Rhinolophus ferrumequinum: one gene and its partners. The protein of the gene in region 2 interacts with the protein of the main gene of each other region in a pairwise test. Links are inferred from orthologs where the notes say so. Each region holds a gene or a part of one and is shown on either strand. Other genes may lie near its edges.

The links. The genes of interacting proteins can lie anywhere in the genome.
Region 1: the proteins of EIF3E (region 2) and RUNDC3A interact in binary tests that used the Homo sapiens proteins (3 or more experiments, as listed by UniProt). The two-hybrid records come from large-scale screens. The link is inferred for Rhinolophus ferrumequinum from reciprocal best matches to the Homo sapiens genes EIF3E and RUNDC3A.
Region 3: the proteins of EIF3E (region 2) and C5H4orf19 interact in binary tests that used the Homo sapiens proteins (3 or more experiments, as listed by UniProt). The two-hybrid records come from large-scale screens. The link is inferred for Rhinolophus ferrumequinum from reciprocal best matches to the Homo sapiens genes EIF3E and PGCKA1.

What each region holds. Positions count from the first base shown.
Region 1 is NC_046304.1:39,360,016-39,370,996, forward strand, and holds the start of RUNDC3A (RUN domain-containing protein 3A), read left to right. Parts: upstream 1-6,773; 5' UTR 6,774-7,028; coding exon 7,029-7,135; intron 7,136-10,773; coding exon 10,774-10,889; intron 10,890-10,981. UniProt on the Homo sapiens protein: May act as an effector of RAP2A in neuronal cells.
Region 2 is NC_046297.1:48,867,871-48,878,303, forward strand, and holds the start of EIF3E (eukaryotic translation initiation factor 3 subunit E), read right to left. Parts: upstream 4,027-10,433; 5' UTR 3,926-4,026; coding exon 3,836-3,925; intron 1-3,835. UniProt on the Homo sapiens protein: Component of the eukaryotic translation initiation factor 3 (eIF-3) complex, which is required for several steps in the initiation of protein synthesis.
Region 3 is NC_046288.1:62,266,201-62,277,339, reverse strand, and holds the start of C5H4orf19 (uncharacterized protein C4orf19 homolog), read left to right. Parts: upstream 1-6,931; 5' UTR 6,932-7,038; intron 7,039-11,139. Other genes in the region: NWD2 (NACHT and WD repeat domain-containing protein 2), read left to right, coding at 1-501. UniProt on the Homo sapiens protein: Acts as a tumor suppressor. Acts as a tumor suppressor for colorectal cancer cell proliferation by targeting KEAP1/USP17/ELK1/CDK6 axis.

The DNA of each region.
Region 1 (10,981 bases), on a different chromosome or scaffold from region 2:
AAAAAAGTTAATCACATACTTATCCTATGATCCATTTATTCACTCCTAGATATTTATCCAAGAGAAATGAACTCTATGTCCACAAAATCCTTGAATGAAAATTTTCATGGAAGTTTTCCTTATAATAGCCAAAAATCGGAAACAGCTCAAATGCCTATCAACAGTAGAACGAATAGACAAACGCTGGTATACTTCTCATCAATAAAAAGAAACAAATTACTTATACATGCTACAACATCAATGAATCTCAAAAATATTATGCTGAATGAAAAAAGCCAGAGCCAAAGAGTATTTATTATATGATTCCATTTATATATAATTCTAGAATAGGCAAAACTAATCTGTTTCTACAAATCAGATCACTGGTTGCTTCTGTGGTGGTGGTGGGGATTCTGTGGTGGCAGAGGCATAGAAGAACTTCCAGGGGGTGATGAAAATGTCTTGGAGTGTGGGATACGTATCTATCGAATGGCGTGCTTAAATTCTAAACATTTTGCTGTATGTAAATTATATCTCAATAAAGAAGAACCACACTGAGGTACCACCACACACTCACTGGACTGGCTAAAATTAAAAAGAATAAAAATACTGAATGTTGGGGGCCGGCACGTGGCTCAGGCGGTTGGAGCTCCATGCTCCTAACGCCGAAGGCTGCCGGTTGGATTTCCACATGGGCCAGTGGGCTCTCAACCACAAGGTTGCTGGTTCAACTCCTCGACTCCTGCAAGGGATGGTGGGCTCTGCCCCCTGCAACTAACAACAGCAACTGGACCTAGAGTTGAACTGCACCCTCCACAACTACGATTGAAAGGACAACAACTTGACTTGGAAAAAATCCTGGAAATACACACTGTTCCCCAATAAAGTCCTGTTCCCCTTCCCCAATAAAATCTAAAAAAAAAAAAAAGAAAATACTGAATGTTGGCAAGTATGTGAAGCAACTGGACCTCTGGTACATTGATAGTGGGGATATAAAACAGTACAACCACTTTGGAAGTTTGGAAGTTTCTTATAAAGTTAAACACATACTTCTCATATGATCCAACAATTCCACTTCTAAGTATTTATTCAAGAGAAATAAAAACCTTGATTACACAAAAATTTATACAATACCATTTAGAGCAACTGTAGTCATAATAGTAAAAAGAATAGAAAAAAACCCTAATGTCCATCAACAAGTGAATGGACAAGTAAACTGTGGTATAGCCATACAATGAAATACATAGCAATAATGAGTAATGAATTAACAATACTTGCAACAACAAGAATGAATTTCCAAGATGCTATGCTGAGTGAAAGAAGCCAGATACAAAATAGTATAGCCTATATGATTCCATTTATATAAAATTCTTGGAAAGACTAGTCTACAGTGACAGAAAGTAGATATATGGTTGTCTGGGGTCAGAGGTGGGGCTGAGGATTGACTAGGGAGAGGCACAAAGAAACTTTTTGGTGATGGCAATATTCCCTATCTTAATTGTGGGTGGATACATTTGTCAAAACTCATTGACCTGTACGATTAATATGGGTGCATTTATTGTATGTATATTATACTTCAATAATGTTGATTTTTTTTAGTGGAGAAATCAATTGACAAAATCAAAATAAAACCATAGGAATGAAAAATGAAATAGACTACCTGAATCGTCTACAACTATAAAAGAAATCGAATCAGTAGTCAAAGACATTCCCACAAAGCAAGCTCCATGACCAGATGGCTTCATCATTAAATTTAATCACATATCAAGGAGCAAATACTTCCAAACATTCACAAATTATTTCAGGGTATAGGAAAAGAGAGGATACTTCTTAATTCATTTAACAATATAATTTTAATACCAAAACCTGGCATGGATAGTACAAGGGAAGAAAATAACAGGTCAATCTCACTCATGAACATAAATTTTAAAATTCTAAATCAGTAAAACTAAACCCAGTAATATATAAAAAAGAAAATACATCATGACACATTGGGTTACCCCAGAAATGGAGTTTGATAACATTAGAAAAATCAATTCATACAATCCTCCCATGAACATGAATAAAGAAAAAAAAATCATATATTCATCTCAAAAACAGAAAAAACATTTGATGAACTTTATCATCCATTAATGATTAACACTGAGCAAACTAAGAATAGAAAAGAACTTCTATAACCTGATAAGGGATATCTATTAAAAAAAACAAAAACCTCTAGCAAACATCACATTTAATATTGAAATCTTTTTTTCTGAGGTCAGAAACAGGAAAAAGCTGCTTGTTATTTGGTGAGGAAGAAACAAACCTGTTATTTGCAAGTGACCTAATTGTGTAACAAGAAAATAAAAAAGGAGCTACAGACAAATTATTTCAATTTATAGAAATGTTTAATAAATTAGCAAAATCAGCTTAAAAATTAATTGCTTGACAAACAGCCAAATTAAAAAATGGTCAAAGGACTTGAATGGACATTTCTCCACAGGAGATGTACAAATTGCCAATAAACACATGAAAAAATGCTCAATATCATTAGTCATAAGGGAGATGCAAATCAAAACCACAAGAAGATAACACTTTGTACGTACTAGGATGGCTATTACAAAAAATGGAAAAAGCAAGCGTTGTTGAGGCTGTGGAGAAATTGGAACGCTTTTACATTACTGGTGGGAATGTAAAATGGTTTAGCCATTGTAGAAACAGTTTGGCTGTTCCTCAAAAAGTTAAACATAGAATTACCATATGACACAGCAATTCAAAAGAATTGAAAACACAGACTCAAACCAATACTTGTATACAAATGTTCACACAGTATGATGAAAACGTTTTGGAAATAGATAGTGGTGATGGTTGTACAACATTGTGAATGTAATTATTGTCACTGAACTGTACATTTAAAAATGGCAAATTTTGTTATATAAATTTTAACACAATAAGAAATCAATTGCTTATCTATAGAAGCAATGATTAGAAAATAAATTTTTAACAAGGTACCTTTTAAAATAGCACAAAACATGAATAAACTAGGATAAATCTAACAAAATATGTATAAGACTTCTTTGGAGAAAGTGATAACATTTTTTGACAAATTTTAAAGACAAGCTAAATCAAAAGAGAGCTATACTGTATCCAAACATTGGACGATTCAGGATTATAAAGATGTCAGTTCTATCCAAATCAAGCTATAGATTCAATGCAATCATAATTCCAATACAAATTTCTACTAAGGTTAGTTTGTTTTTGTTGTGCTTGTCAAATTAACTCTAAAATTATTATGGAAACACAAGGGGCCAAGAAAAACAAGACACTCTTGAAGAGGAATAAGATGGGAGGAACTGCTCTACCAGTCATCAAGACTTATAAAGTTTTAATAATTAAGACATTATGCTTTGGTGCCAGAATAGACCAAAAGACCACAGGAGCAGAGCTGACAAACAGACCCATACCTGATTTGAAAGAGAGGTCACTGAAAAACAGTGGAGACAGTACTTTTTAAAAAGTAATAAATGGTGCTGGATCAAAATTAAATTGGACCCCCACCTCACACCATACACAAAATTTACTCTAGGTGAATTGTAGACTTTAAAGTAAAATAACACTATAAAACTCTTGTAAGGTAATATAAGAAAATACACCATAACCTCAAGATAGGGAAGATTTCTTAAACAAGAGACAAAAAACAAATTACTTGTTTTTTTGTAGCTGAACTAGGAGAGGTATTGGTGTCACCAAGAGATGGGTACTGTTACTGAAGAGACTTTGCACTTCCACTTTTGGAGGCTGCCAGCACATCTTTACGGGAAGGACAATTGCATCTTGTTAGGCAAAGTCATGAGATTGTTACTGTTCAAACATGCATAGAAAGATGTGTGTAAATGCTGAGCAGAAAAAGGGGTTGACTGTGTCAGTTATTTACTTCTGGCCTTCCTGCTCCAAATCCATTCTTCGTGTCTCTGCTCTCTGATGCTGGGTGGGGTTGGGACTCTGCAAACTTGTTTCCCTGTTAGAGAAACAAGAAAGTCACTCCGTTATTAACTGGCTTTCTGTTAGGTTCTCGTAGTACTAGGAGGCACTGGAGTGAGATGGAAGGCAAAGGGAGAAGAGACTACCGTCCACTTTTTTGGTTTTGTTTGGTCACTCTATCATTGGAAAGTGGCTCCAGCCATCAGCTTCTTTCCGCATTCCAGGAACCAGCTTTGTAGATGGCTGCTCTGAGGAGTGAGCAGCAGCCCCGGCCGCTCCACCTGCATCTGAGCCTCAACTCTGCACGTCCCCCTCTGGGCTCTTAGGGTGTAGTAATCCCACCTCTTCCCTGTGTTCCCTCAGCGCTTGCTGTTTCCTTTACTTACTAGTTCCAAGTTGTCTCAATGTTCTTTTTCTTTTTGCTCTTTTCGTTTTCCAACACCTGTGTAACCTGTATTAAGTCCTACATTTGAAATACATACTGTGGCTTCTGTTTATCTGATTAGGCCTATCTGATATCCTCAATGGTAGAAGAGATAACTTGTGGCATAGACATACTACACAGGAATTAGTATGCAAGGAAAATGAATCCCCCTAACATACTACTGAAAGAAGCAAATCGCAACCGAATTCACACAGTATGACTCTATTTCTACAAAGTTTAGACACTGGCAACATTAAACTATATATTTGCTTGATGGACACACAGGTGATGAAACTATAAAGAAAAGCAAGGAAATGGTTATCACAAAAGTCAGGATAGTGGTTATCTCTTGGAGGCATGGATGAAGATGAGATCTAGGAGAAGCATAGGGAGGTCCTGGGGCATTCATAGTGTTCTATTTCTTTTTTTTTTAAATCTTTTATTTTAATTTTTTTTTTTAATTGGGGAAGGGGAACAGGACTTCATTGGGGAACAGTGTGTACTTCCAGGACTTTTTTCCAAGTCAAGTTGTTGTCCTTTCAGTCTTAGTTGTGGAGGGTGCAGCTCAGCTCCAGATCCAGTTGCTGTTGCTAGTTGCAGGGAGCACAGCCCCCCAGCCCTTGTGGGAGTCGAACCGGCAACCTTGTGGTTGAGAAGATGCACTCCAACCAACTGAGCCATCCGGGAGGCAGCTCAGCTCAAGGTGCTGTGTTCAATCTTAGTTGCAGGGTGCGGAGCCCACCATCCTTTGCGGGAATCAAGGAATTGAACTGGCAACCTTGTGGTTGAGAGCCCACTGGCCCATGTGGGAATCGAACCGGCAGCCTTCGGAGTTAGGAGCATGGAGCTCTAACTGCCACCAGGCAGGCCCCATAGTGTTCTATTTCTTGATCATTGAGGTGATGACACAGGCGTTTGCTTTGACCATATTCTTTAAATTGAACATTTGTGTTTTATGTGCTCTTTTGTGCATAAGATGCATTTTGCAAATGAAAAACAAAAGAACATCATGATTGCCACTGGCGATGGGTCTGGAGGCAAGAGGATGCTAAGAAGGGCTTCTAGAGGCGAGGCAAGAGGCAAAAGAGGGAGTGAAAAGACCAAGGTCCCAGAGGTCCCAGAAGCCAAGAATTGAGGCTGAGGCTGAGAGAGCTTGAGATCTGAGCCAGGAGTCAGGACCTTCTCCCCAGCCCCCAGGGAGTCAGACCAGGGTTGGAAACTTCTTTAGGTCTTTTATCTCCTCCCCCTCTGTTTGTGCTGACAGAGGGTCCCTGCCTGCTGGTCATATCCAGATGTGGGAGCACATCTGAATCAATGTGGAGATACTGACCATCCACTAGCAGAGCAGAGTAAATCTCGTAGGTAGGTGGAATTGGTGAATAGATATGAGCTGAGCCCTGGGATGCACATTCCTGAGGCCAGACAGAGAAATGGGTAGAGCCTCTTTAATCAACACAGAAAGGCTTTCTGTGGAAGCTGAGTGAAAGAGAACAGGTTGGACTGGGGAATGGAGCAGGGATGTGAGAGAGGAACTGGGAGGCAAAGGGCAGCAGGGAAGCCAGACTGTGCCTCCAGTTTCCCCACCTTCGGGTAAAAGATACAACCAGCTTTGCGGGTGCCCTCTTGGCCGTGCATAGAGGGTTGATGGCACCACGCAGCAATGCAAGGGGTTAACAGGAAAGCCAGCTGCCCCAGGGGTGGTGTGAGGGGGTAGGACTCCGAGGGGAAGCAGTGGGGACCATCTCTAATGCTAGGAACCTCCACCGAGCCCGGCCCTCAGCTGCCAGTCTGCTCTCCACTCACTGTCTTGAGTGGTTCCAGGTGCTGGGTTCCTATTGCTGATTCGGGATTCCCATCCCTCACCTTAGGAGCGGTTGACTCCACCGGCTGGTGTAGCCAAGTCGAGCCCGGGGGGCAGACAGATACGCAGTGTCTCTGACTGCTCCTTTGCCTCCTGGGTCAGCAGCATAGGGCCACCTGCGCTCTCTGGACGAAGACCTGCCCTGGCCTTGAGGAGAATGCCTATACTGAATGGGGGGGTGGGGGGGAGGGAGGGGGCGGGGCTGGGATGAGGATACTGGAGGTGAAGACCTCCATTCCCCCTAGGCATCAGGGGGAGAAATCTGAGATGAACACCATCGATCATAGTCAGAAACAGGGGAGTAGAGGCGTCGGAGCTCAGACGTGAAGCAAGGGGTCCTGGGCTCAGAGTGTGGGGGTGGAGGACAGGCCAGATGCTCCCTCTTACTCCTTCTAATCGCTGCCTCTTTCAGGGACCCCCTCCGCCCTCCCTTGGGCCCTGGCCCTCTCCCCTCCCCCTGAAATCCTGCACCCTCTGCGGATTGGTCCCCGGCCTGCCGAGGGGCGGGGCCCGAAGGCCCTGACGTCACTGGCCGAGGGGGGCAGGCGGCTCGGGGAGGGGGGTGACGGGCCCCGGCTCAGCACCTCGGAGAGCTCCCTCCCCGGCCTTGTTTTGCTCCGGTGTCGCCGCCGCCGGGGGAGGGAACCAGGGGGCTGGGCACGCGACTCAGCAGCAGGGCAATGGCGGTAAAGGGGTCGCGGGGCCCCGGCGGGCAGAGGGCCCAGCCGTGATCCGGCGAGGGGGGCCAGGGCGCCGGGCGGGGTGGGGGGCAGCTGGCGGCGGCAGCAGCGGCCGCATATCTGGATGGAAGCAAGCTTTGTCCAGACCACCATGGCTCTGGGGCTGTCCTCCAAGAAAGCATCTTCCCGCAATGTGTCCGTGGAGCGTAGGAACCTGATCACCGTGTGCAGGTGGGCATCGCTGTAGGGTGGGGGTGGGGTGACCGGAGAGAGGTGTGGGGCGGGCTGCGGAAAACTGGATGAGCGTGCAAAGCAACCTGGGAGAAAAGGGAGGCACAGGCTTAACAGGAGCGTCCACTGTCCCTCTCAGGCCAAGACCAGGGAGGGGTTTGGAGGTCTGGTCCCTACCCTGCTAGGCCAAGCAAGGCCTATGCCCAGCCTGGGGCCTGGAGGGTGAGGGGTGTTTAACTGGCACTGCAGCTTCCTGTGAGAACCAGGAAGTGACATTGTGCGTGAGGGGGAGGGTTGGGGATGGCTGGCTCCCTCGCAGGCGGCGGGTCGGCAGTGGGAAGAGAAGAACTGATGGGGTAGGGGGATGACCACCCTCCAAGCATACCCTCACTCCTACCCAACAGCCTGGCCTATCTGAGGTGGGGCTTTCCTGGGAGATTTTCCCATCATGCTGCTCAATTCCTGGAGAGGGATGGTGTCCTTCTTTTCTGGGAAGCTGCAACCTGTAGCAGAGTCAACGGGGCATGTGGGCAAAGACTGAATCCATCCACTGAAGGGTGAAGGGCACTGCCCCTGCTGTGGGAAGGACTGAGGGGCCGGCTGAAGAAGCCTGGGACTCTTGGGTTCAAGGGGAGAAGATTGGGAGGGCAGGGCTGTCTCAGGGTTAGGAAGATTCCCACCCCTCCTCTTCTTAGGGCCCAGGAAGTGAACCTTCCCACTTCAGCCCTCAGAGTCTCACCCTCTCTGCCCTGCCCTGAAGCCAGGAATGGCCAATTGCTCAGCTTCTCTCCCTCAGGCCCCACCTACATTCATCCCTCCCTCTAAAATTCCCATGTCAGCTGCCTTCTCCACCTGGAACCTCCCCATGCCCCGTGCCACCTCTGAGGGCACAGAGCTGTCTTCTCTTGCCAGTCCCACCTGCCTGCACCTAGGCCTTGGCCCTGCTCCTTGCCCCAGGAATCAGTGCCCACCTGATGCCCTGGCTCCTGTGTCCTATAACTCCTCCCAGGTTCCTGGGCACACATCCGACCATGCTGCATCTGTCTCCCATCACGATATGCCTAGTGCCCATCACAGTGCTGTGCACACCAGACCTCCGTAAAAATGCCTGAAATGTTATAGAAGGGATGAATGCAAAGTGCAGGCCACGATCGCCACCTTTACGGTCCTAACCCTGCCAGTGTTGTGTAAAAGCTAGATGGGCCTTGGGTCGAGCTCTTACTTCATCAGTTACTAGTGTGTATCATTGGTGAAATCTCCTAACCACTCAGGCCTTGGGTGCCTTATCATCCCCATTATATATGTCACAGCCACACCAATGAAGGGTAGTGACATAATCCACGTAGGAGCCTAGCCCAGTGCCTGGCACACGGAAATAGCCCTGTCCTGATGACATCTTCCCTGTCCCTCTTCTCCCTCTTGACCGCCTAGGTTCCTCTTCTTTCTCTTGCCTGCCAGGACAACTGGGCTTCTTGAGTGTGTGGAGATGAGGGGCACTCCCCTTGGTCCAGACTGCAGAAGCAGAGGTTCTGGTAGATAGGAAGTGGGCGTAGAGCTGTGGTATGAGGGATAGAGTTTTAGGGGGCATCAGGGGCTTAATAAAGGCTCAGAAACCCCTCGGGCCCCTGCCACCTCATCACTGTCACATGGTTTGCCTCCAGCTCCCAGAACAGTTCCCTTTAGCAGGCTGAGAGCTCCCCTGGGCCCTGGTCTCCCTGTCTCCATGGTAACTGCGGCAGCCACTGCACCTCTTAACAGGGAACACACCATGGGGCTCCTGGGGGAGATGACCAGCTCTGCAGCACCCCCGAGGACAGATGGCAGATGGCTGCCATGCTGACACCAGCCCCATTCACCCACTGTGGTCTGACCCAGATGACCAGAAGAAATCATCAGGGTGTGGAAGGCTACATAATGCATCCCAGATATGCCCTAAACATAGGCTCCTTCTGGCAGGGCCAACCTTCCCGTTAATGACCCAACTCCTCACAACCCCTGCCCGTCCACATCCACCTTCTCCCAATCCTGCCTGGGATCTGAATCAAAATGTAATGAGGCAGGTACTTCCCTTCCTGTTTGGGACAATGGGCCTCTGAGGGATTATATGACTTGTCCAAGGCCACAGGGGTATCACAAGGAAACAGGACTTGTGTCCACCAGGCTGCCTCCCCCTAGGTGCCACCCCAGCATTGACTTGGCTCTGATCTCAAGCCAGACCAACTTGAAGCCCAAAGGGAAGAGAGGGAGGCCCATGGACTCAACTGGGCCATTGGCCTGAGAGCCACGGAGGCCAGTGCCCCAGGGCTGGAGCCTGCAGAGAGGAGGACAGAGGGCAGAGGGGGCAGGGGCTGCTCGGATCCTTAGTAATTGTGACAGCCATCAGGAGGCCATAAGATATAGCAGAAAGAGCAAGGGCTTTGGAATCAGACATACCTACTTGACCTCTCACAAGCTGTGTGACTCTGAACAGATCAGTCAACCACTTGGACTCTCAGTTACCTTATCTGTGAAATGGGGACGATGGTGATAATAAGAGGAACTACCTCCCAGGGCTGTTGTAGGGATGGATGAGATAACACACGAAAAGTATAGCGCTTGGCACATGAAAGGGCTTAATAAGCTTAGGGGGAAAAGGACCATTCTAAGCAGGCCCTGTATCTGCTCTGCCACCCACAACAGGCCAATAATGGCATGTTGGGAGACGTGCCCTTAGCCCTGCCCCATCCCACTGTAGCCATGGTGGGTGGAGATTGTAGGGGTAGGGAGTGCAGGGGAAGTGGGGACTTCAAGCAGGATTGGAGAGAGGGATGGGGGCTGCTGGGCTGCAGTCCCTCAGCCCCACTGGCTTCCCTCGGCTGCATTCCTCTCTGAGAAGCCAGGTATCAGGGCCCCCAAGGCCCCTTCCAGAGATCTGTGTCCAATGCCCACTCCTACTCAGTGTGTGTGTCAGACCCACACCCTGCACTTCCCTGGGCAGCACTGCACCACCAGATTCCGGACAGCTGGTGTGTGGGCAGCCGAGCTGGGAAGGAAAAGGGGTAAGCGGGGGCCTCCGTGTGCTGAGAGCCCACCTGGCCACCATGCGTGCCCACGCCCCATGTGCTCAGAGCCAACTCACAGGCTCTGGCACAGGTGAACCCCCCTCCAGAAAGGACTGAAGGTTTTTCTAGCAAGAGCAGAAGAGAGCTCAGAGAAAGGGCACAAAGTGGCTTCTAACTCCTAGCTGAACCGCAATCCACACACATACAGAATGCAACTCCAAAGGGTGGGCAAAGACGAGGGGGCTGTGGACGGTCCCCAGGCTCTAGGTGCCTCGACTTTCTACCTATTGTTTCATCCCCTCTCAAACCTTGTTCCCAAAGCTTCCTTTCTCTGACTGTCACCTCTCCTGTCACCCACTTTGTCAATCAGTCTCCCACCTGCCACCCTATCACTCCCATGTCACAGCAACTCTATGGTCACTATATTCTTACCTGTCTCCCGCCCTCTTTCCTTCTGCCATCCCACTACATCCATAATCTTCATGACCTCTTCTCTGCCCTTCACTCCCTCTCTTCGCCTGATGCCCCTCCCCTACCACCATCAGCCTGTCTTCTCACCTGACACCCCACTGCCCCTTCTCCCTACCCCACACCCAGGTTCTCTGTGAAAACACTGCTGGAGAAGTACACGGCAGAGCCCATCGATGACTCATCTGAGGAGTTTGTGAACTTTGCAGCCATCTTAGAGCAGATCCTCAGTCACCGTTTCAAAGGTGGGCCCAGGTTCCTGTCCCCCAGGACCCAGCTCTGCCAACTCCCAGTCTTTAGCTTCCAGCCACCCTGTTCTGATCTACTCTGTGACTTC
Region 2 (10,433 bases):
CAGAAGGAAGGTTTTTAGGATGTTTGTTAATGTTTTACTTACTGATCTGGATGGTGGTCACATCAGTGTGTTCACTTTGGGGAAAAAAGCACTTATATTTGTGCATTTCTTTTTTTGTATGAGTGTTACGCACGATAAAAAAGTTTACTTAAAAAAACTGAAGCTCCCTTTCAATCTGCCCTGCAGAAACCCTAGATGAAAACACCCTTTTCATAGTAATATGCCACCTCTCCTTGATACCCCATTAACAGCTTTTACTTTGTATTGTCTCTCCAACTGTAGGTTCAAAGCACTACTCCTCTGCCATCAGACCTTACTGGCCTCTTCAAAAGTCTACATCTACTTATATCACCTTCTCTAAAATTTGCCTCATAGACACACTTGTTCTGTAAAGGGCAGATAGTAAATATTTTAGAATTTGTGAGCCAAGAAGCAAAAACCAAGAATACTATGCTTAAGTACTATAAGAAACAAATTTCCACAATTTCTTTTCCTTTTTGAAATAATAATAATGGAGTAAATTTTTTTGTAATGTAGATCTATTAAAGAGAAGAATGTAATTCTTTTTGGGGCAGAAACTATTTCACTCAATTGGGGTATAACATTACAGTGTTCTGTACTGAAAATGTTTGTGAACGTTCATTTGTTAAAACTTACTTTTAGTTTACAGATCATACAAAACAGGTAGAAAAGGCTGCATTCAGTTCACAGGCTCGTTTCCCCATCCCTGGTCTATAAACCCTTGAAAACAGCTATCTTTAACAAATGAAAAATATTCTGACATCTCTTCCTGCTATCTCCCACAAATCTTACATCCATACTGATGATTCTCCAAAAAAAAACTCAAGCCGTAAAATTCCTTTATCCCGCAAATTACAACTTTCCATCTAGTATCTCATCTGTAAGACTTCCAACTTGAACTCATCACCTCTTTCAGCATTACCATCAACATGCTTCACCATCTCACCAGGCCCTCTGCTTTTCCTAATTTTTATATCACCTTTTTTGGCTGTAACTTTCTATATAAGTTTAGCTATCATTTCTAACTATTTCAAATATTCTCTCTTTAGCTGTATCATTGGATTCCATCCATTTTCTCCAACCAAGCACAATTCAATGTCAATCTCTAGCTCTGGGGAAAAAAGTCATCTAATTCTTTGTTTTGGTGAAGAATGACTATAAAATGTTTCAAAACTAGGCAATATATATTCAATCACATTTGTGCTTTTCTCTGTTGATCAGCAATCCATTTCATTTCTAAATGATATTTACAAGTCTACCTCCAAATATCCACTACTTCAAAAATCCTCCACTGCTCCTCTCACTCTGAGAATAACCATCATTCTCTATAAATGCATAATTTCCAGTCTCAGCTGGGCCCTCCAAACTTACCAATCCTTGTTACTTGTCTTTGGTTGGTTTCCTCAGTCACTCCTTAAACCCCCAGTTGGTTGTCTCACTCCCCTCTCAGACAGGATGGCCTAGCCTCCCGATAGGAAACATTCAGGAGTATTTACTCTGTCCCAGTAGGCTAAGTGCTTTACATGCATTCTCTCATGTAATTCTTCTAACTCCATGAGATTCGTGGTAGTACCAACATTTTATGCATGAGAAAAGGCTTAGTTAAGATGAGAAAGAAACTGCTCTTAAGTGCACAGAGGTGTTACACAAATGACAGAGCCAGGATCCTAATCCAAGCAGAAATCCAGCGCCCAGGCTGCTAAACACTGCCTGGTCGTATACTTCACCTGAGAATAAAGAAGAGCAGATACAAATATGTATTCATTTACTCATTTATTACGTAATCATTAAAATCCTTTATGCCAGACTCTACTTCCTGTGCTGAGAACACAGCAAAGTATAAAACAAAAAACTTGCTCTCGTGGAGCTTATATTTTCCAACACACTACAAATATGCCAAATTGTTGCCGTCGTGTATCACAATCGCTGACTCTCCCAACCATATAACCATCACAACTCAAAGCCTCTCTTCCTCAAAAGTCCTTCTGCCCACTTTTATAAATAAAAGTGTTGTTATGTTATAAATAAAATAAAAATAAATAAATAAAAAAAGTGTTATAAATAAAGCCTCAGTGTTGATAGCATACTCTTCCAGTAGTTCTCTGACATTTCCTAATTTTTGCCTTATAATTTATACCTTTATCTCCTCTAAAGTATAGGTGATTTTTAGCGGTGAGCTGTCTGGGCTTTACGTTGGATTTATCATACTTCCATGGCAGCCCTCTACTTAGTAATCACTAAATATGCCAGCATGTGTCTGTCTTCCTACGAACATCTTACCAATATTCTCTCCACGGAAGAGGGTACTGGGCGCAGTATCTTCCATTGATTCTCAGCTACCAATCGTAGTTTTGGTCTTGCCCTATGAAATACTAATTTACACTTACACATTGCTCCCTTTCATCTGTCTTGAAAAATGAAAGTGTAAGGAACACATTAAAAAAATATGAAGTTTGGTTAGTTTAGAAGCATTTCTAGAAGTAGCTGGTAAAGGATTTCAAAATGTGGTATTGCTCTATTCCCTGATTTGTGGTGAATTATCCTTACTTATCCAGGAAAAAAAACAAAAACAGAAGGCAGACTAGATTATTATATTCAAGCTCTAAAATACAGGCGTTAAGTATATCCCAGGTGAAGAAAAACCAAGGCAAAAACATATCCTTTCAAGATAGGCTACACTTGAACATTTATTGAAAATGAAATGTGTTGTTCCCTAACATCAACAACTTGAAAGTTATCTATATGTTTAGAAAAAGATATACGAATTTATGTAATAAACCATAAATACCAGGAACCCTTGAAAAGTTATCAGAACAATTTAATATTTGTTGGGCTTTTTTGTTCTATTGTTGTTGGGACACATAAAAGCTATTCTCCAAATCTAACGTTCCTTAAGTAGACCTATGTTGTAATCTGCTTCCAGAAGTAGAATTCATTTATTTTTCTGGCCAATATTCTAATCCCTTCATCACAGTAATACTGCTTTATTATAATTATTAAAATGCATCAATTTCCCAATAAACACAAAGTATAACTAAGTTCAACATTTTAAAACTTTTAGGACTCATGAATTTTTTTAAAACGAGGTACCAGAACCACATAGCTATTCAAGATATTCTAGAACTCTTGAATAGTTAAATGAATGTTACCGACCAATTCAAATCACACGAAATCTATCTATCAATAACTGGAAAACAACTTGTAGGGTAAAATCTTGCCGGGTTATTTTGCTTTTTGTTTCGTAGAGTGGGGGTCCCCTTCCTCCCCCGACAAAATATGCTACGCCTGTAGGAAGTAGCTACTTATGGAAAGACCAGGACTACTCCATGCAAAGAACTCACAACTTTCTGGCAACCAAAGTGCTAGATATTTCATTTAAGTGTAAGAGTACCATTCCAAACGATCCGGCAAGCCCAGCACACCCTTGCCACAGTTCCTGAAAAAAAAAAAACACACACACCAAAATCTCTAACCCTCCCATTTGTTTTTAGAAGTCGGCCTGAAGGAAAGCTCGGGCGTTATCACAGTGAAGTCGGCAGCGAGTCGTCCACTTCCGAAAGGACCCGACGCGGAAGTCCCTTGGACACTGGCACCTCGAGGACCGAGGCTAACCCCTCGTTCTCCCCTGGGGGTCACAGTGCTACCTCTCTCCAGCTCACCGCCCGATGCCGCGGTACCAGTCCACTCCGACACAGGACCAAACCGGCGGCCGCCTCACACGTGTGTCAGGCCTAGGGCTCCCGCCACTGCCTCTCGGCCTCGCCCCGCGTCGCACGCGCTCCCACGACTTCCTCACCCTCCAAGCCCCGCTCACCTCCTTTACGGAGAGAAACTCAAGCAACGGAAAGACCAAATGCCGATCCAAAAAGTGCGCGATGCGGGTAGTCAAGTCGTACTCCGCCATCTTGTCAAGGAAAAGGAGAGTCTCTCCTCACTAAAACTTTATTGATAGCGCCGACAGAGGAACAGACAGGTCCCCCAGCGCGCATGCGCAGTGGTTAAACTCGCCCCGGGGAAGGGGCGGGGTTCAGGCCGTGGCGCTGGGAGAACAAGGTCCCGGGCGCAGGCCCTCCTGGGCTCTGGGCTATTCCGGGACTGGGCGGAGCGTTGGGCACATTTTCTTTTTCTTTCAAGTTTGTCGGTGTACTGCGATCCGTTCCGTTCTTAAAACTGAAAACTCAGAATTGATTGCTGAGGCAATGTCGATTGCATTGGGATGCGGCAGAGGACAAGCTCAAGAGGCCCCTGCTCTCCAGGAAGTGACATGCAAGGAGGAATAGGAGCTTTTATTTGTCATAGTAATCATTTTGTAAACCGTTGGTTAAATTGTTTCAGACAGAAAACAAGTAAAATAATTTCAGATTATAGTAACAGCCATAACGTAATGATTCTGTGGGGGTGGTCAGGTTGTGCTTTTTTTTTTAAGATCTAATTGAGTTTATTAAGTGATTCATAAATCCGGCAGCATCCCATCTAGCAACTAGAAGGGTGCTCCCAGGAGTTGTACAAAATGAAAGGTTTTTATAGGAATAACTTTGGAGCAAGGGAGGTATTAACAAAAGAAAAGAAAGGATTAATTTTGGGCCAGGATATCTTTTGGGGGGGAAGAGAATGGGGAAGCATTTGTAATCATGTAGATTGCCTCAATAATTTCAAAGTATAGTAAGAGCCCCAACGCAGTGGAGGTGGTCGGGTTGGATCTTTTAAATTAGGTTAGCTAGAGAAAACTCAGATGGGAATTAGGGTGGTTAGAGAGGACTCAGGGTAACAGTTTAGCTGAGAGTTGTAGTAAGAGATGGAGGTGACCAAAATTAGTCTGGGTGAAAACATACCTGGTGGAACCCACAGCAAAAACAAAGGCCATGACACAGGAAAGGACTTGGTGTGTTTCAAAAACAGAATACCTTGTGAGTATCCTGTGTTACTGAAGAGTGAGGTTCAAGACTTTGAGAAGGGCCAGGTCATGATTAAGATAAGAAATGTGGATTTTATCCTAAGTGCTCTGACGTCTCCTTTGCTAATTATGTCTCATCTTTCAGGTCTCTTCATTGTGTAGTGCCTTGGGGTCTTTTACCTCTTCTCTGTCTAGGCCATTGCCCTAAGTGATATTGTTCAACCTAAGGGCTTTAAATGAAATCTACGCATTGACAACTCCCAAAGTATAACCCTAACCAGACTAGTAGTTAACCGCAGACTCACATATATTCAACTGCCTACCCAACACCTCCATGTTATCATGTCTAAAACCATACTCCCCCATGTAGTTCATCAAAAGCTGCAACTTTGACACTCTTCTCCAGCTCAGTGAATGCCAACTCCATCCGTCCAGTTGCTCAGACCCCAAACCTGGGAGTCATCCTTGACTTTTTCTTACACTCTATTTTGAATTCACCAACAAATTCTTAGGTTCTAACCTTCAAAGCATATCCATATCCAAGCAGTTTAAACCACCTCCAAAGTTAATCCCTAATTCAACCATCTTTATCTCTTGCTTTGATTTTTGGAATAGCCTCTTTACTGATCACCTTGCTTCCCCTCTTTTCTTCCTGTAATTTATTCTCCATACAGCAGCCAGAGTGACTTTTAAAAGTCAATTTATGCTCAAAAACCTCCAAGCCTTGTTATCTCACTCAGAGTAAAAGATAAGTCATAAAATGTCATAAAAAGCCCTAGATCATCTGGACCCATTACCTCTCTGACTTGTCCTTCTCTTCCTCTTGCTTACTCTCCCCCAACTCTAAGTAACCACTAGTCTTTCTGTCTTGTAGATTTCCCTATTCATAACTTTCATGTGAATGGAATTATATAATATGTGGTCTTTTGTCTGACTTTTTCACTTACCGTTTTCAAGGTTCATCCAAGTTGTAGAAGAACAAGTATTTAATTCCTTTTTATGACCAAATAGTATTCCATTTCACGAATATACCACATATTGTTTACCTATTCATCCGTTGATGAGCATTTGAGTTGTTTCTATGTTTTGGCTGCTATGAATAATGCTGCTATAAACATTCGTGTACACATTTTTATGTGGACATATGTTTTCCATTATCTTGGGTATATACCCAGAGGTGGAATTGCTGGGTTATATAGTAACTCTATGTTTAATTGCTCAAGAAACTGCGAGACAGTACTCTGATTTTGCAAGATGTTACCACTGGGGGAAACTAGGTGAAAGGTACACAGAATAGCCCTGTATTGTTTCTTACACCTGCATGTGAATCCATAATCTCAGAATAAAAGCTCAATTTAAAAAAATGATTCCTAGATTTTGGACTTAGAAATTGGATACCTACTGGTGACTAGAATATGGGGATTGTGGGGGAGAATGGCAAAGGAATATGTATGGGTGCTAAAATTAAGAATTCTATTTGAGACAGAATAAGATCTCTGTTAGATATGTAAGAGGTGATATCTAGAATGCAAGTGGAGACACTATTTTGGATCAGTTAATCACTTACCATGCATGTAACCTTACAAAAGATATTTTCAAAGATTTGGGAGTATGATATGGTCTGGCCATTATACCATTTATAGTATTGTGGGGAAGGCAAGGCAGAATTCCCATGAAGCAGAGAATACATAATAGTATAGGCTGCTAAATTGTGGGGAATAGTCCTTGTAATCTCTAACAGCTGAGAAATAATAATCTGAAGCTTCCGGAAGCCCAGACACTAAAGTTATAATAGAATATAGGAAAAGAGGAAGTTAGAGAAATAGCAAGAACTGAGGCTTCCAGCAAAAGTGAGCTTTGATAGATGAAGGAAAGAAGCAGGTAGCAGTATGGAAACTTGCCAAAAAGGAACAGAGAGCATCATTAAGAAGCAGAGAGAAATAAGATGCAATTTAATTTGGCAAACATTTTAAACTTTTATCATATGAAAAGTACTAAGCTAGGTGTTAATGGGAATATATAATCAGAGCTAGTTACTGGCCACAGAAGCTTTTTGTCTAATAGGTGACAATTATCCATTCATTTGTTCAATATAAATTGAATACCGACAATGTGCTAGGCTCTGTTCTAGGTTCTGGGAATTCAGTGGTAAAGAAAACAAACCACCTTCTCTATAGAAGCTTATATTCAGGTGGAAGGAGACAAATAAAAACATAAAAATATATACTTTTTTAGTTGGTAATAAGTGCTATGCAGAAAAATATGCAAGGTAAAAGAGAATGATCGGGAAAGGTTGCTGATTTATATAAAGTGGTCAGGGAAGGCCTGTCTGATAAGGCAGAATTTGAAAAGAGACATGAAGCAAGTGAGGGAGCCTGTGGCTCACTAGAGGAGGAAAATTCCAGGTGAAGGAACATTAAGTATAAAAGTGCTGAAGCAAAAGTGTGCTTGATGCTTGATATCCTTGAGGAAAAGCAAGGAGTCTAGAAATTCAAGAGCTGATTAGCAAGAGGAAGTGTGGTCTAGAAGATGAGTTCAGAGGGCGTGGCGGGCCAGATGATGTAATGCTTTGTAGGCCACGGTAAGGACTTGGGTTGTATTCTGAATGAGGTGGGACGCTATTGGAGGGTTTTGAGCAGAGAAGTCACAAAATCAGAGTTATGCTTTAAAAAAGATCACTTTGAGGGATTGAGGGAAAGGAGACAAGCATTAACAAAGAGACCAGTTGATGAATAGCCTATTGAAATAATTCAAGGAAGAGATGATGGGGGCTTAGAACAGAGTAGTAGCAGTGAAAGAGTTGTGAACAGAAGTGAAATTCTAAATGTATTTTGAATGCAGAGCTAGCAAAATTTGCTAATGATTAGATGACAGAAGGGTCAAAGGTCTAAAAGAACTGAGAGACGATTTCCTAAGACAAGGAAGGGTGTGATAGATACATGTTTTAGAGAGGCGAGAAACCAAAGTTTAGTTTTGGACCTATTATGGTTGGTATGCCTGTTGGATATCTAAGTGGAGATATTGATTAGGCAGTGGTACATATGAGTCTGGAATTGAAGAGAAAGGTAAGAGCTGGAGAAAGAAATTAGATCTTGTCAATATGTTGAAGAAATTTAGACCCATGGGACTAAATGAGATCAGAGAATGAGTGTGTTGGGAAGAGATGAGCAGGGCTAAATCTTAGGCACTTCAGCTTGCGGAGGTTAGGACAGTTCAGATCAAGCAAGGAAGCTGGACTGGAGGAGTGGCCAGTAGGTGGAGGAGAGAAGAGGAGGAGCAAGAGAAATTGGTGTTTCAGGCACCAAAGGAGGAGAGTGGTCCAAGCATCACGGAGCAATGGACTATGTCAAATGATGCTGTTAGTTCAAGATGACAACTGAGTTTTGCCTGTCAGCTTTGAAAATGTGAAGGTGATTGATGACCTGGAGAAGAGCAGTTTCAGTCAGTAGCGGATGAAAAAGTCTGTTTGGAGAGAGCTCAAAAGACGGGAAGAAGGAAGTGAAACAACATATGCAAACAGATCTTTTGAGGAATTTACAAGAAAGGGAAGCAGTGAAATACAATGAAAGATATGGCATCTAGGGAGGGTGTTTTAAAACATGTGTGTCTGCTGATAGACATGATATAATACTTACGTAAATAACTATAATGGAAAGATAGAGTATTAGGAGAAGCTGCAAGGAACATGGGAAGATAATGAGGCCCCCGTCAGAGTGTGCTCAGAGATTGATTCTCAATGAGTGTAGAAAACAGGCAGGAAGCTTGACAGATTGTATGTCTTTTGTATTGGGTCTGCTGACTTACACAACACATATGGAAGACAGTATTGCATGTGGTTCATGAACAATTTGACACTGTAGAGACATAAAAACAGGAAGTATAAGAAGTATTTAAGAAAGACAACTTGGGAAGTTAGCTGAAGATTGAATACTATCAGGGAGGCTATACTAGAAAAGAAAGACCGGAGCCAAATAGTAGAAAGCTTATGTGAGGAATTTGGAATTTATCTGAGGTTAGGAAGAGCCTTAAAGTATTTTTTGAGTATGAGAGTGAATAATCTTATCTGTGTTTCAGGAAGGTAACCCTGACAATTGCGTTGGACTGTGATTGTATAGATGAAATGCAGCCAGACTGTGGAAGGTCTTCCAAACCATGCTGGGAAACTTGGATTTGATTAGATAGACAATGGGAGCCACTCATTAAGTTCTTAAAAAGAAAAAGACATGAAGACAGTGGTGTTTTGTCCTTTAAAATTAAACTGGAAATGATTTACAAGATGGATTAAAGTGGTGACAGATTGGAAACTCTGCTGATTTGCCTGGCTTTTCTTCTGGAATTTTCCTTGCTGGTTTGTGAAAATATCTTGTTTCTTTTTATAAGAGAGATTTAGCCCCAAATATGGAAAATCTGACTTTTTTGCTTTAGTCTCTTTCTAGTGTTTTCGTTAAAAAGAGATATTACAGAAGAAGGACAGATAAAGGCTCACCTGCTAGTATGTAGGTGGTGTCAGATGAAGACTGATTCTCACACATGCATCAAGTATTATTGAATGCTTGCCATTCGCTGATCACCAGTTCAGGCTCTGGGGAAACAAAGAAAGCAAACTAATCCCAGGCACAAGGAGTGTGCAGTTTAATGCGGGCAGCAAGCATGTAAAAAGTAAAATAATTGTAGCACAATATGGGAGACTCTATGCACAGAGAGCAGCTGGGCGTCCAGGGGAGGAAGTGACTTGCTGCCAGAGAAAGCTGGAGCTTTATGGAGAAGGCAACCTTTGACTACCTCTACCTGAATAGATCTTCAGCTGCCTAAGAAAAGGTGAAAGGATGTTTCAGGCAGAGGGAAGGAAGCGCAAGCACACAGGCTTAGCCTTGCGAAAAAGCACAGTGTCATTGGTGACTTTGAGAAGGTCTCTGTGCCTAGAGAGTAGCATGTGTGATGTCGAGTGGCAGGACATGTAAAGGTCAGTTGTCAAGGGTGCTGTGGACTATGCTGAGAAGTTTGAATTCTGTCCTGCAGGCCAGTTTTTCTCGTGACTCTTTTCCATACATCCTTCTCTGTCTTTCTAGTTCAAGCTATGATGATCTCTCACTCAGACTACTGCGATGGTCTTCCAAAGGGTCTCCCTACCCGTGGTCCTGCACCTGTCTACCTGTCCGCCACCCTGTTGTCTGGGTGACCTACAAGGTCTGACAATGAAGTTCGCAAACTTGTTGCAACAATGTTGCCAACCTATTTTGATATCAGAGGGATTATTCATTATGAATTTGTACCAACTGGACAAACAGTTAACCAAGTTTACTATTTGGAAGCGCTGAAAAGGCTGTGTGAAAAAGTTAGACGACCTGAACTTTTCACCAACAATTCATGACTCTTGCATCACGACAAATGCACCAGCTCACATGGCATGTCTGTGAGGGAGCTTTTAGCCAGTAAACAAATAATTATATTGGAACACCCTCCCTGCTCACCTGATCTGGCCCCCAATGACTTCTTTCTTTACCTGAAAAATAAAGGA
Region 3 (11,139 bases), on a different chromosome or scaffold from region 2:
CGCTACCTGGTCTACATTTGTTTCCGAAATGGGGAGGAAGAGGATGAAAATGGGGCAATATCCAGTTTAATTGTAATGAGACTGGCCGATGGAAAAAATATTGGTGCTTGTTCCCTTTACAAAACACCAACTTTTCTCGCCCTCTCACAGAGGCACCTCCACATCATTGTGGGTTTTGACGACGGGAGTATAGGGATATACACGGTAGTGGACCGCGTAGATGCCGCACTGAAAATTAAAATTGCCACTTCAAATAGCAGACAGATATTCAACAATGCAACACAGACCTCCAGGCCAAAAAGTAACAGTTACTATTTCAAAGTATCTGTAGATTGCTTATGGAGAGAGTCGACTGAGGTCTTTGCAAGAGACAGTCCCATCACCGTCAGTGACTCCACTGAGCCCAACGAGGCGACACCCTCCAAGAAACACAATTCTTGCTATGATCGGGTGTGCTCTGCCCTGGAATCCAGGGGCCACGGCTATGCCCCTGACAACTGACAAAATGTTTATCTCGCTCACCAGAAATACATGGCACACATAGAAAAGGAAAAAAACAAAACAAAACAGTGTCTTCTGTATCCCAAATGATAAACTGTTCATTTCTTAAGAGATGGGAAAGATGCTAGAGTTCCACTGTTAATTATTAACATGCTCGTGAGACGTACAGAAATGTGAAGCTGGTTCTGAGTTTGGTCTTTTTGTCAGAGTTTATCCAGAAATGAAATCTTGAGAGAATTTCTAGAAATCGTATGTAAATGGCTCCATCAGCTGGAGGTTAGAGGGTCATTTTAAAATCGTGTGGAAAAAAGAAGCAGCATAACTCGCCCCCTTGTTTCAGATGAGAGAGGCTAGAGACCATTTGGACTGGAAGTAGTGCTACAGAAATTGGTTGAAATTGTGAACACAAAGAGCTATTTGACTTTACATGATTGTGTGGCTATAAGTAAACACAGCCTTAATCTCTCTTTACATTTTACAATCCTGACAACTGTGTAAACCCAGTCTGTAGATGGAAGGTCTAAAGGTGCAAACTAATGTAACAAAAATGCCCAGATGTACCCCCAGTTTCACAAGAGGAAGGACATGAAATGAGAGGCCACAAACTGGACTGGGACAGAACTACCTACCACTATCATAGGGCTACTGAACACACAGAGTCAGTCTTCGTGAAAATGTAGTTGTGACAATTGCATGCGAGGGTTTCTGTATAACGGAACACAGTATTTTTTAAACTATTTCCTGGGCTGCAAAAGAACACATTTAATAAGAATCCATAATCTTCTCATGTCTTTTTGAAATACCTATTTGTGCTGGGTGTAAGGAAGAATTACAGAAAAGGCATTACAGATTTGGTCCAAACACCTGTTCATTTCTATCATTGTATTAACAAAAGTGTGTGCTATTCAGTCAATTGTACGGAAGCATAAATTATTTCCTAATTCCCTGCAGTAAATCTTAATAGAAAGAAAGCTTTCTCAACATGCCATCTATGGTAAACTGCTGACATTTGCCTTACTCTCTCGTTCCTCCTTTTTCCTGTGTAAAATGCAGATAGATGACCAAATACTCGGGGACAAACTGAAATATGCCTGTCTTTGTGCTAAAATATTCCATAAATCTTAAGGGTGTCCAAAGGTTCTTTAATGTCCCTGTTTGTAAACCCTTTCTTACTTCTACACACAGTATGTATGCTTCTTTAACTGTCACCCTTTCCAATTGAGGACTCTTCGGAGACTTTTCTAGTCTTCTCTGTTTCAAAGCAGAAGCTGTGAAATGTATTAAATCTTTTTTAAAAACCACTTTATCTATGTAAAAGAAAATACCACATCCCGAAAGGGGAGAGTGATTTTCTCCCTTCCATATCCTCCACCTGGCATGTCCTTGGATAACTTTCCAAAGCGTGTCAGTAGTGGTGGTTTGGTTTGGTTTGATTTCAAAGTGGCAGCAGTGACTACAAAAGGCAGAATAATGAACAAGGAACTGACTCACTTTCGGTCCAGCTCTGCCATGAACTCATCAGGTATCTGTCAGCAGATCTTTAATCTCCCCACTATATTATTGTTTATGTGAACTGCGAAATAAAGATCATGGTAGTGTCTGCTATAGCCCCTCTAGGGATATTGGGGAGCAATATAAGAAAAAAATGCAGTGACATCTTAACTGTTGACACTGGAGAAACAACGTAATCTAACCCATAGGGAATCCAAGTCAATTGTATTTCACTTTGGAAAGAGATATGATTCAGATAAAACACCCAACTCCATGGTGAAAGACTTTTCCAGTATGTTCCTCCTCGTCTGGCTACCAGCCAGGGAGGTGGTAGCCGGGCTAAGGCCCAGCGCAGGTACAGATCGCCTGCAGTGGATTGTCTGAGTCAATGCTTTTTTTAGCTCTTTGGAGGCAACACATCTTATTCCTGTCATTATCAGTTGGACCTCCATGGCACATATTTCTAAATTAAATTGTCTCGATGGAGTAAACGTCGTGTGTGAATGTTCTGTGTAACAGCCAATAGAGTTTAACAAGTGACTTGAATGATTTTTCCTAACTTGTTTGCAACTGATAGCTCATATTGAATGTTTTTATGTAAACTTTGTATTGTTGGGAAGAATTACCCAATCAGAGATTTATATTTTCATAAATGTTACCTTTAGTTAAATTTTGTTACAGAGTTGTTACACTAGAAAATTATTGCAGTCTTCAAACAATATACAGTCTTGTGTATGTTTTGTTTGTATGAATAAAAGATAAACTATGTAGATATGTGGTGTTTCTTTTTCTCCCCCAACTTAGATATAGAGATCCGTAGTAGTAGTAATAGTAGTAGTAGTAGAAGTAGTAATAGTTCATGCCTACTGAGTGTTTATTGTACACCAGGTACTATTTTCAGAGCTTCATATATACTAAGCCGTGTAATCTTCACAACAGCTTTATGAGGTAGGTGCTGTTAGTATTCCAAATTTACATATGAAGAAACCTAGAAACACAGGTCCAGGGAGAATAGCGGAACAGCATTTCAATGTACCATCAATGTCTTTTTTGTCAGCTTTCTCAAAGCTCATACAAATATAGTATTGCGTATCCAGTAGGCACTTACTGATAATGACCTATATAAGATGTTTTCTTACTTGTAGACGAGAAACCAGGGTAGGTTCTGAAGATCACTGGAGGTCTTTGCAAACTCTCAGGATTTTCAGGTGCACTGCAACAGTTGATGTACTATTCATTAAGCAAATATTTACTGGGGCCTACATTTTGCCAAGAATACAAAGGTTAATAAAATAGCTCCTGCCTTCTAGGATTTCCAAGCCTTAACAGGAAAACAGATAGGAAACAGTTCTATGTGTAAGTTCAAGGACAGTGTGCCTTCCTCTGGGGCTGGGGGTGGAGGTGGGAAGGACAACCAAGGAGTCATCCTACTCATAGATTCTCTACAGAATCTCTACAGAATCACTCATAGATGCCACGGGGAATTTTCCCATGTGTACTTTTTCTGTTTCTTGCCTCTTTGGGTCTGAGAAACTACTCCCACCCCTCGCCCCCCCCCACACACACACACACAATTGTTTAAAACGGCAGTAATGAGAGCTTAAGTGATGATAACAAGGAAATAATCAGGTGAAACCTTGTACCTAGTTTCACGAAACAACTATTCTCCGAGAGACAAAATCAAAGTGTCAAGAAAACAATTAGAATAGCCATTGTGTTTATTGCCTCCATCTTCATGTGACCTCAAGACTGACTTTAATTTAAAATTTACTCCCATTGAAAAGGATTCCATTACCCATGCGGGGGAATTCCTTTGGACTCATTGAAGGTTAAAGCCTCTTCTCTCTTGTTTCTCGAGAAAATGTAGAGAAGCTGTCCATCAATATTTGCATAAAAGCATTTCATATACATGGAATTTGTTGTTTAACTAAATCTCTTCTATCTCAGGGTCAAAAACACAACAAATACTGCACACTTCTTATGTGCAAGGCATTATACTGTGCCCTACGGTGACTTGAAAATTAGTCACATACAATTCCTGCCAGAACCTTACAATCTAAAGGAAACACAACTAAATCAGCTGTAAGACAGAATGTGATACAAAGTTATTAATAAAAGTGAATACACTGCAGAGGGGCAATTAACTCTGGTAATCAAAAAGGGTGTCCAAGAGGAGGTGACAGATAGCTGAGGCTTGAAGCATAAGTAGGATTTAGCTCTCAGAATGCCAGAAAAGACATTTCAGGTGAAGGAAGCTGTATGAGCCAAAACAGGGAGAGTCGAAGCATATTTTGGATGAGTTCAAATGCTATGTTGGGATTTTAGACTTTATTCTGTAGTCAACAGAATCGTGAAAAATATTTTGAGGAGGAGAATGGTCAGATTGGAATGGTATTTTAGAATGACTCAGGCAGTACTCTGTCAGATGGATTAGAGACAGAAGAGACCAGAAGCTGGGGGACCAGTAAAGAGCCTATTGCAATGATCTGAGATAGAAAATGTAAGAACTTGATCTTTGTGTAGTGGCAGTGAGAATGCTAAGAGGGGGAGCAATTCAAGAGTGACTTCAGGACCTAACTGACAGAGGTGGGTGATGAAGGAGAGGGAAAACAAATAATTTCAGTTTTCAGTTGAAACTGGGTGGATAGCAGAGGTGCAAATGTAAAACGAATAGGTCAGGAGATGAAAGTTGGGGAAATAATAAAGTTGGACCTAGAGAGTGCAAAAGGTAAGACCTCTATGCAGGCAGTTGTAAATATGCTATCCATCCAATGGAGGAATCTGAAATAAAGAATCCAGCTGAGATAAAGAATCTCTTTCTCGAAAGTCTAAAATGCCTCATGGGGGATTTGATTCAAGATGGTGGAATAGGTAAACGCTCCCTATGCCTACCGCATCCCAGGATGACACCACAGTGACACATAAATTTATAGAACAACCACCCTCAAGATTCATCTGAACACTAGCTGAACAGAACCACTATAACTAAGGATATAAAGAAGAGGCCACATCAAGACTAGTATGAGGGATGGAGCTACGAAATGGGCTGACCCTAAAATGCCTCATATGGTGCTTTTTTGGGATATAAGCCAATAGCATACACTTTTTAAATTTGTCTTTTTTTTAGAACTATATTGACAAACTTAGAACTATATTAACAAATTATTCAAATTAGCTTTCCTGGCTTCCATGACTCATCAGTTGGAAACAATTTATATGCCAATGAAAACATGAACGCACCTTGAAAACTGAGTATATTATGTTTTCATTCCTGCATGCATCAAGAAACCATAGATTTTTCTTCTGTATTTTTCACAAGGACCCCACAAATCTCCATTTAGCACTCCATGTGATCTGCAGGAAGTACAGATTACACTTTGCATAGACACATCAGAGTGTTGGGTTTCAGTGTATCAATATGGCAAGTTATATAACACTGGTAATTTGAGATTACCAATAACACCACCACCTCTGGCTTTATAGAATCCCAGCCTTTACTAGACGAGGGTAGCTTAAACAGCCGCTTGAGCATCCTAAGCAGTGGTTTGCAAACTGGACTGTGCATCACTTGTTAAAACGCAGATTTCTTCACTCTCCCTATCCCCCACTATTTCTGAATTGATATGTCTGGGGTGGGGCCCGAGAACTTTCATTTTTACTAAATTCCCCCCAGATGGTGCTGATGATGCTGCTAGTTTGGTAACCACACTTTAAAACCCAAGATAAATACCAAAGTATATTTGGTCAGAATAACCTGACAAATGTGCCAATATCCTGTGGACATTACTAAAGTGTCAGCTTGCAGTGGTGACAAACAGTTCAATCAGAAAATGATTTAAAACCGCATGTAACTTCCCTCATAAATCTATCATATTAAAACAGACAGCTACTACTACGCGAATGAGGAGATTCAGAAAATGAGTTTTACTCCATAAAGGCACGTGTCTTGTAAATGGCGCTGAAGTCACTAAAGTGGACGCATTAAAAACTAAGGGCCGTATGTCTGTCTTCAAATAGTATTCTGTGCCGTTGCTTCTCCAGCATCCTGTTTCATCCTGATTCTCCCTGGATGATTTGGAGGGGAAAAACACAAGAGTTAGGTAAGCTAGGTGGCGCAGTTGCTTAATACATTTTCCTGTCAAGCCCATAGTTTACTTCGCAGCGCAGGTGAAAAGAATGTCCCATGCTTAAGTAGTATTTTAGGGTAAAGAAACAGTTCTCCACCCACCTTAGGTGCGTGGATTGCAACAAGTACGGGCGTAGAGATCAGCAGATTGGACGAAGTGTTGCAGCCGAGGTTCCTACACCCCAGGAAAAGAGGGGGACGGTGCGGGGCGGGGAAGCGTGATTTCGTTGAACTCCCACTGTGGTCTTGAGGGTGCAAGCAGCAAGTTTGTGCAGCTTCCCTGGGAATTATCATGGTAGCGTCTGCGCTGATTCTCAGATCATCTGTCTCAAAGGCAGGCTATCGTCACACACCAGGTCTAAGCAGGTAGTGCAGAGGAAACAAAAACACAAGTGCGCGGCGGTGAGGGGTACAAATCTATGTACCACGGATGCATTTATTTATCTTCTTACTTCCGTCCTGAGCCCTAGGAAGCTCCCCTCTCCCGACAGCACGACAGAAAAGTAGGCACTAAAAAGTTTCCCAGCACCGGCAGGCCGCTGGCATGCTACCTGGGTGTGGGTGCTCAGAGGCCGAGCTCCTGGATTTTCTGCTTCCGTGAGCACGAAGGCCAGCCCCAGCTGCGGGGGTTCGGCAGTAGGGTGCCAAGGGCTGGCGTGCGCCCTGCCTGCAGCCTGGGGACCGCCAGGGGAGGCGCGCGGTGTGGGGCGCGCTGGTAAAGGGTTACACGTGCCGGGAGGCTCGCCCCGGGCCGGGCCACGTGACGCGCGGGCCCAATGACCGAGCCGGGGCGGCCGCAGCGAGCGCAGCGGGCTCCGGGCGGCGCTGAGCCGCTGGTGTTTCCCGGCGCGGCTGCCCGAGGCCGGCGAAGCCATGGGCACCGCGACCCCGCCGCCGCCGCCGCCGCCGCCCCGCCCCAGGTAGGGACCGTCTCTCGTCCTGCGCGTCGCGCGCTGCGGTGGGGAAGTCAAGGACTCGGACTTTTGCGAATTTGGCCGTGGGGCATTATTTCCCCTGCTCTCACGGGTCACTTTTCTTTCTTTATTTCCTTTTGCCCTTGGGGGGGAAATGGGGTGAGGTGATTGTCAGTTTGATTACTTCGGAAGAGGCACGTAATTCAACAAAGGCCAGGAGTGCAAAGTCTTGAATGAGGGGCGGGAGGGGGACTTTTACAAATTCCCCAAACTAAAGATCAAGACGGTTTGTAAAGCTTGGCATCTAATGGGTGTATGAAACGCTTTTGTTTTTAAATCCCTAATTAATGAACTTTCAACAGTGCCGGAGAACTTGAATTGGAAAAACTGCAAGCGATTTTCCCACACGTATTTCAAAGTTCCCCCTTCCCCCATTTGTAAGCATTTGAGGTGTTTTGTGTTTGTTTTTTTTTAATAAAACGGAAATGGAGTGTGACCGCTGCTGTTTCTTTGAAATGTCCTTGGGTCCCAGAACTTGCCCCCTTGAGGTGCTGGCGCTCTGGTGGGGAGAAGAGGGTGCCGCGCTAGGAGGCAGCACGTGTTGAAAGAGGGGGCCAGGTGCAAACGCTTAAATGGTCCCAAACTGTTTGCTGAATATTTAATATTTAGGCAAGCACCTCCAGGTCGATTACTTGGGTCTCATTGCCCTTGGCCGCTCTGATGAGGTGAGATTTTCACAAACCACCACTGAAGAATGTTTCCAATGATGTAAGACAGAAATCATTGTTTTGGGTTTTTTCTCCAGCACTGTAATTAAACTTTAAAAAAAAAAAAAACTCCCTTTAGTAACAGTACATTTTATGTTACATTGTGGTATAGATGTTTGCCTTGGGAATTTAGAGGAAGTCCGAGTTCCTTGAGGTGGTTGAAATCAAAAGAATAGGGTGTTTATTTTCTTCCTGTCGCTAATAGAATTACTGATGGCACTTTCCACATGGCTTATGAGTGTCCTGGGTGGTTGTAACCAAGCTATTGTGAGGAGTAATGGCTGGTGAAAAGATGAGAAACATTGGAGGGCTGAATGAGGAAAGAAAAAAAAAGTGGTTGTTGCTGCTTTTAAAGACAATAGATTCTATTTTGCTACTTATTCCCACATTTAATGCTCCAGCCAATGCTATTTTAAGGAGGAGACAGATGTTAAAGCCTTTTAAGGCTAACCACCGGCGCCTAAAGAACACCTTAACAGTCATGAGACAGATCATTGAAACAGTCATTTGAAGCTCTAAGGGTAAAGTTCTGGGGTTATTATTTGTATTGCTCTGAAGTGTGAAGAGGCAGCCAGAGGAAGCTGTCTTGCTGACAGAGGAGAAATGGAGCCGACACTAACGGAGGAAGACACGTTTGTCTTACTTTGTTCAGTCTAAGTTTGTTCAGTCTATCCTGATCCTGCTTTATTCAGCAAGTTTGTAACAAGTGCCTGTCTTAGGGCACCTAGCTCCTGGGCCTGGTCCTCAATGGTTCTAAAGATTTAGGTATCTATCTAATGACATGGAAAGATAATTGTGATCAGTGTACTAAAAGCTTTCGCATATCTGGAATTTAAAACAGAAACTTGTATATCAACTAAATATGTTCACTAACCTAAAAAAAAAAAATGGAAGGATTCCACTTAGTACCTTTCTGAGCCTGGAAACACCACCTGGCTAAGCTCTGGCGGGAAACCAGCCCCAGCCCAAGGCAGGGCAGATACTGCCCTCCTGGCTTCTAGAACTCCCCTGCTCTGGGTGCCCCAAGAGCCCACTGACTGGAATGGACTCTAGTTTCCAAATAATTGAATGCCAGCCTCCCAGTGGTTGGATTTCCTCCACTTGGAATGTTTCGAACTCCCCTAGTTCCACAATTTTTCCAGTAACCCTGAACGTTGGGCTCTTTGGGGATCTTGGTTAAATAGTACCTTGCTCCTGCCATTTTTTTCCTCCTTTTATGGTCTTTAGATTGATTATCGGGTTGCAGATAAACTTTCGAGGTATCTAGAAAAGAGTTGACAGGTTATCATAAAGGAGAGCACACATGAACCTTCACCCATCTGCAGGTCAGGTGGGTCGCCCAGTTGTAGCCTTTCGTAGTCTGGTTACCACCTGAATGCTATTTAAGAGGATAAAATGAAAATGAAATATTTTATCTGTTTGCACCCTTTTCACCTGAGTATATTAATATTCCCATCAGATGAATATGTGTCCTCACGCAGATACTTAAAAGAATTTAAAATACTGACTCAGGGGAGGCAAGCATCTTAGAAAAGACGCCCCTGAGCTGCGGTGAATATTATTAACATAAGACAAAAGGAATATCATGTCTCAAATTTCACTATGAGTAGTGACCACTTCTGTTCAGAGTACAAGTAGCTCTCTCAACTTAAATGAAACCTTCATCTGGCCTTGGAGATGGCATGTGTGTAGAGGCAGGGACACCGGACACTCAGCGAGATGCTGGGGACACAGTCCTTGCCTTCAGGGATCTTACAGTCTTCAGAGAGGCCATGGAGGATTTTGAGTAGAGCCAGGTCTCTATTTTAGGAAGTTCACTCTGGCTGCAATGAGAAGAATGAAACAGGGAAGATACAAGCAAGGCAACTGCTGTAAACATCCATGAGAGGAAAGAGAGAAGTGAATTGATTCAAAAGATATTTAGAGGGGCAAGGGTATTTAAGCTGTTAACTCAGAATATATTAGGCATTTCAAGTCTCTAAAGTTAATTTACATGCCATTTTGAAATACACTTGTTCCAGGTAGATAACCATAGGCCATGTCCCATTGCAATGCTTTCCTTACTGACTGAAGTTACTATAGGGCCCCGCAGAGTTTGTTTCCATCACAGAAAAAAGTTTTTGATAAAGAATGAGCTTCAAATATAGTTCACACTTTCAACAACCCAGTGCTTCTTTATGTATGGAGACTTAAATACATACATCTGAAGGCCAAGTTAAGATAAACTGTTCTCATATTGTATACACATTCTCTGATTTAGCTTAACGCCCTATAGGAATAAAAACACCTGACTCGATGGTGTAACAGTAGTGGATGTGGGCAGTAAAACAGCCTTTTTTTTTTTTTAAGTTGTCCACAGTATGGCCTGCTGTATGTCACAGAGATGACTGTACAGGCAGACCCCGTTTTATTGCACTTCACAGATGTTGCGTTTTTAACAAATTGAAGGCAAGACCCTCCATCAACAAAAAGATGACAACTCGGTTTGTTGTAGTGGCCTGGAACAAAACCCGCGATAGGCACACCTGTATTATATTTGCAGGAGTGCAGTGTTAGAGTATGTGCTAGTGGTATGTGAGAGGCGCTGCTTGCCTGTGATAGAAGAAAAGTCACCTTAGTTATTGACTCACTGCCACATACATAGCTTTTATGTAACATGTATTTGGATAGATTAATTCACTTGTTTGTTAGTCTCAGAGTCAATCTCTACACATGCGAGTTCTGAAATTGTTTTTAATTTTCGTGTTAAGTCTACCCCCCGCCCCCGCATTTGATAATTGAGTACATATCTTGGGTCATTTATGTATGATAAAGGCAGATTAGATTCATACTTGATGGCTGTAAAACAGTATCCCTTTTATTTGGTGATCAAACTATACAGCCTCATTCCTCCAGAATATTTATTGCAACCTAGAAATGAATAAAAGAAGTCCACTTGCATTTGCAAATACTGTGTTTCCCCGAAAATAAGACCTAGGCAAACAATCAGCTCCAATGCATCTTTTGCATCTTATAGTAAAATAATACCGGGTCTTATATTAATTTTTGCTGCGAAAGATGCATTCAAGCTGATTGTCTGGCTAGGACTTATTTTCGAAGAAACACAGTAGTTGTTAAGAGCCACATATTTAGATTCTCACTAGAATTTATATGGCGTTATTTATTTTTTGATTCTTAATGAGCTTGGCTATCTGGGTTCCTGGTCCACGGAAGAAGGCCCGCCTTATAGGTTCAGTGTATGACTATTGTAAGTGTGAAATGTAGCCACAACCAACGGCTCAATAGTGAAGGCAACACAGGCAGCTTGTCTGTGAATAAATCTTAAGTCTACAAGAAAAGA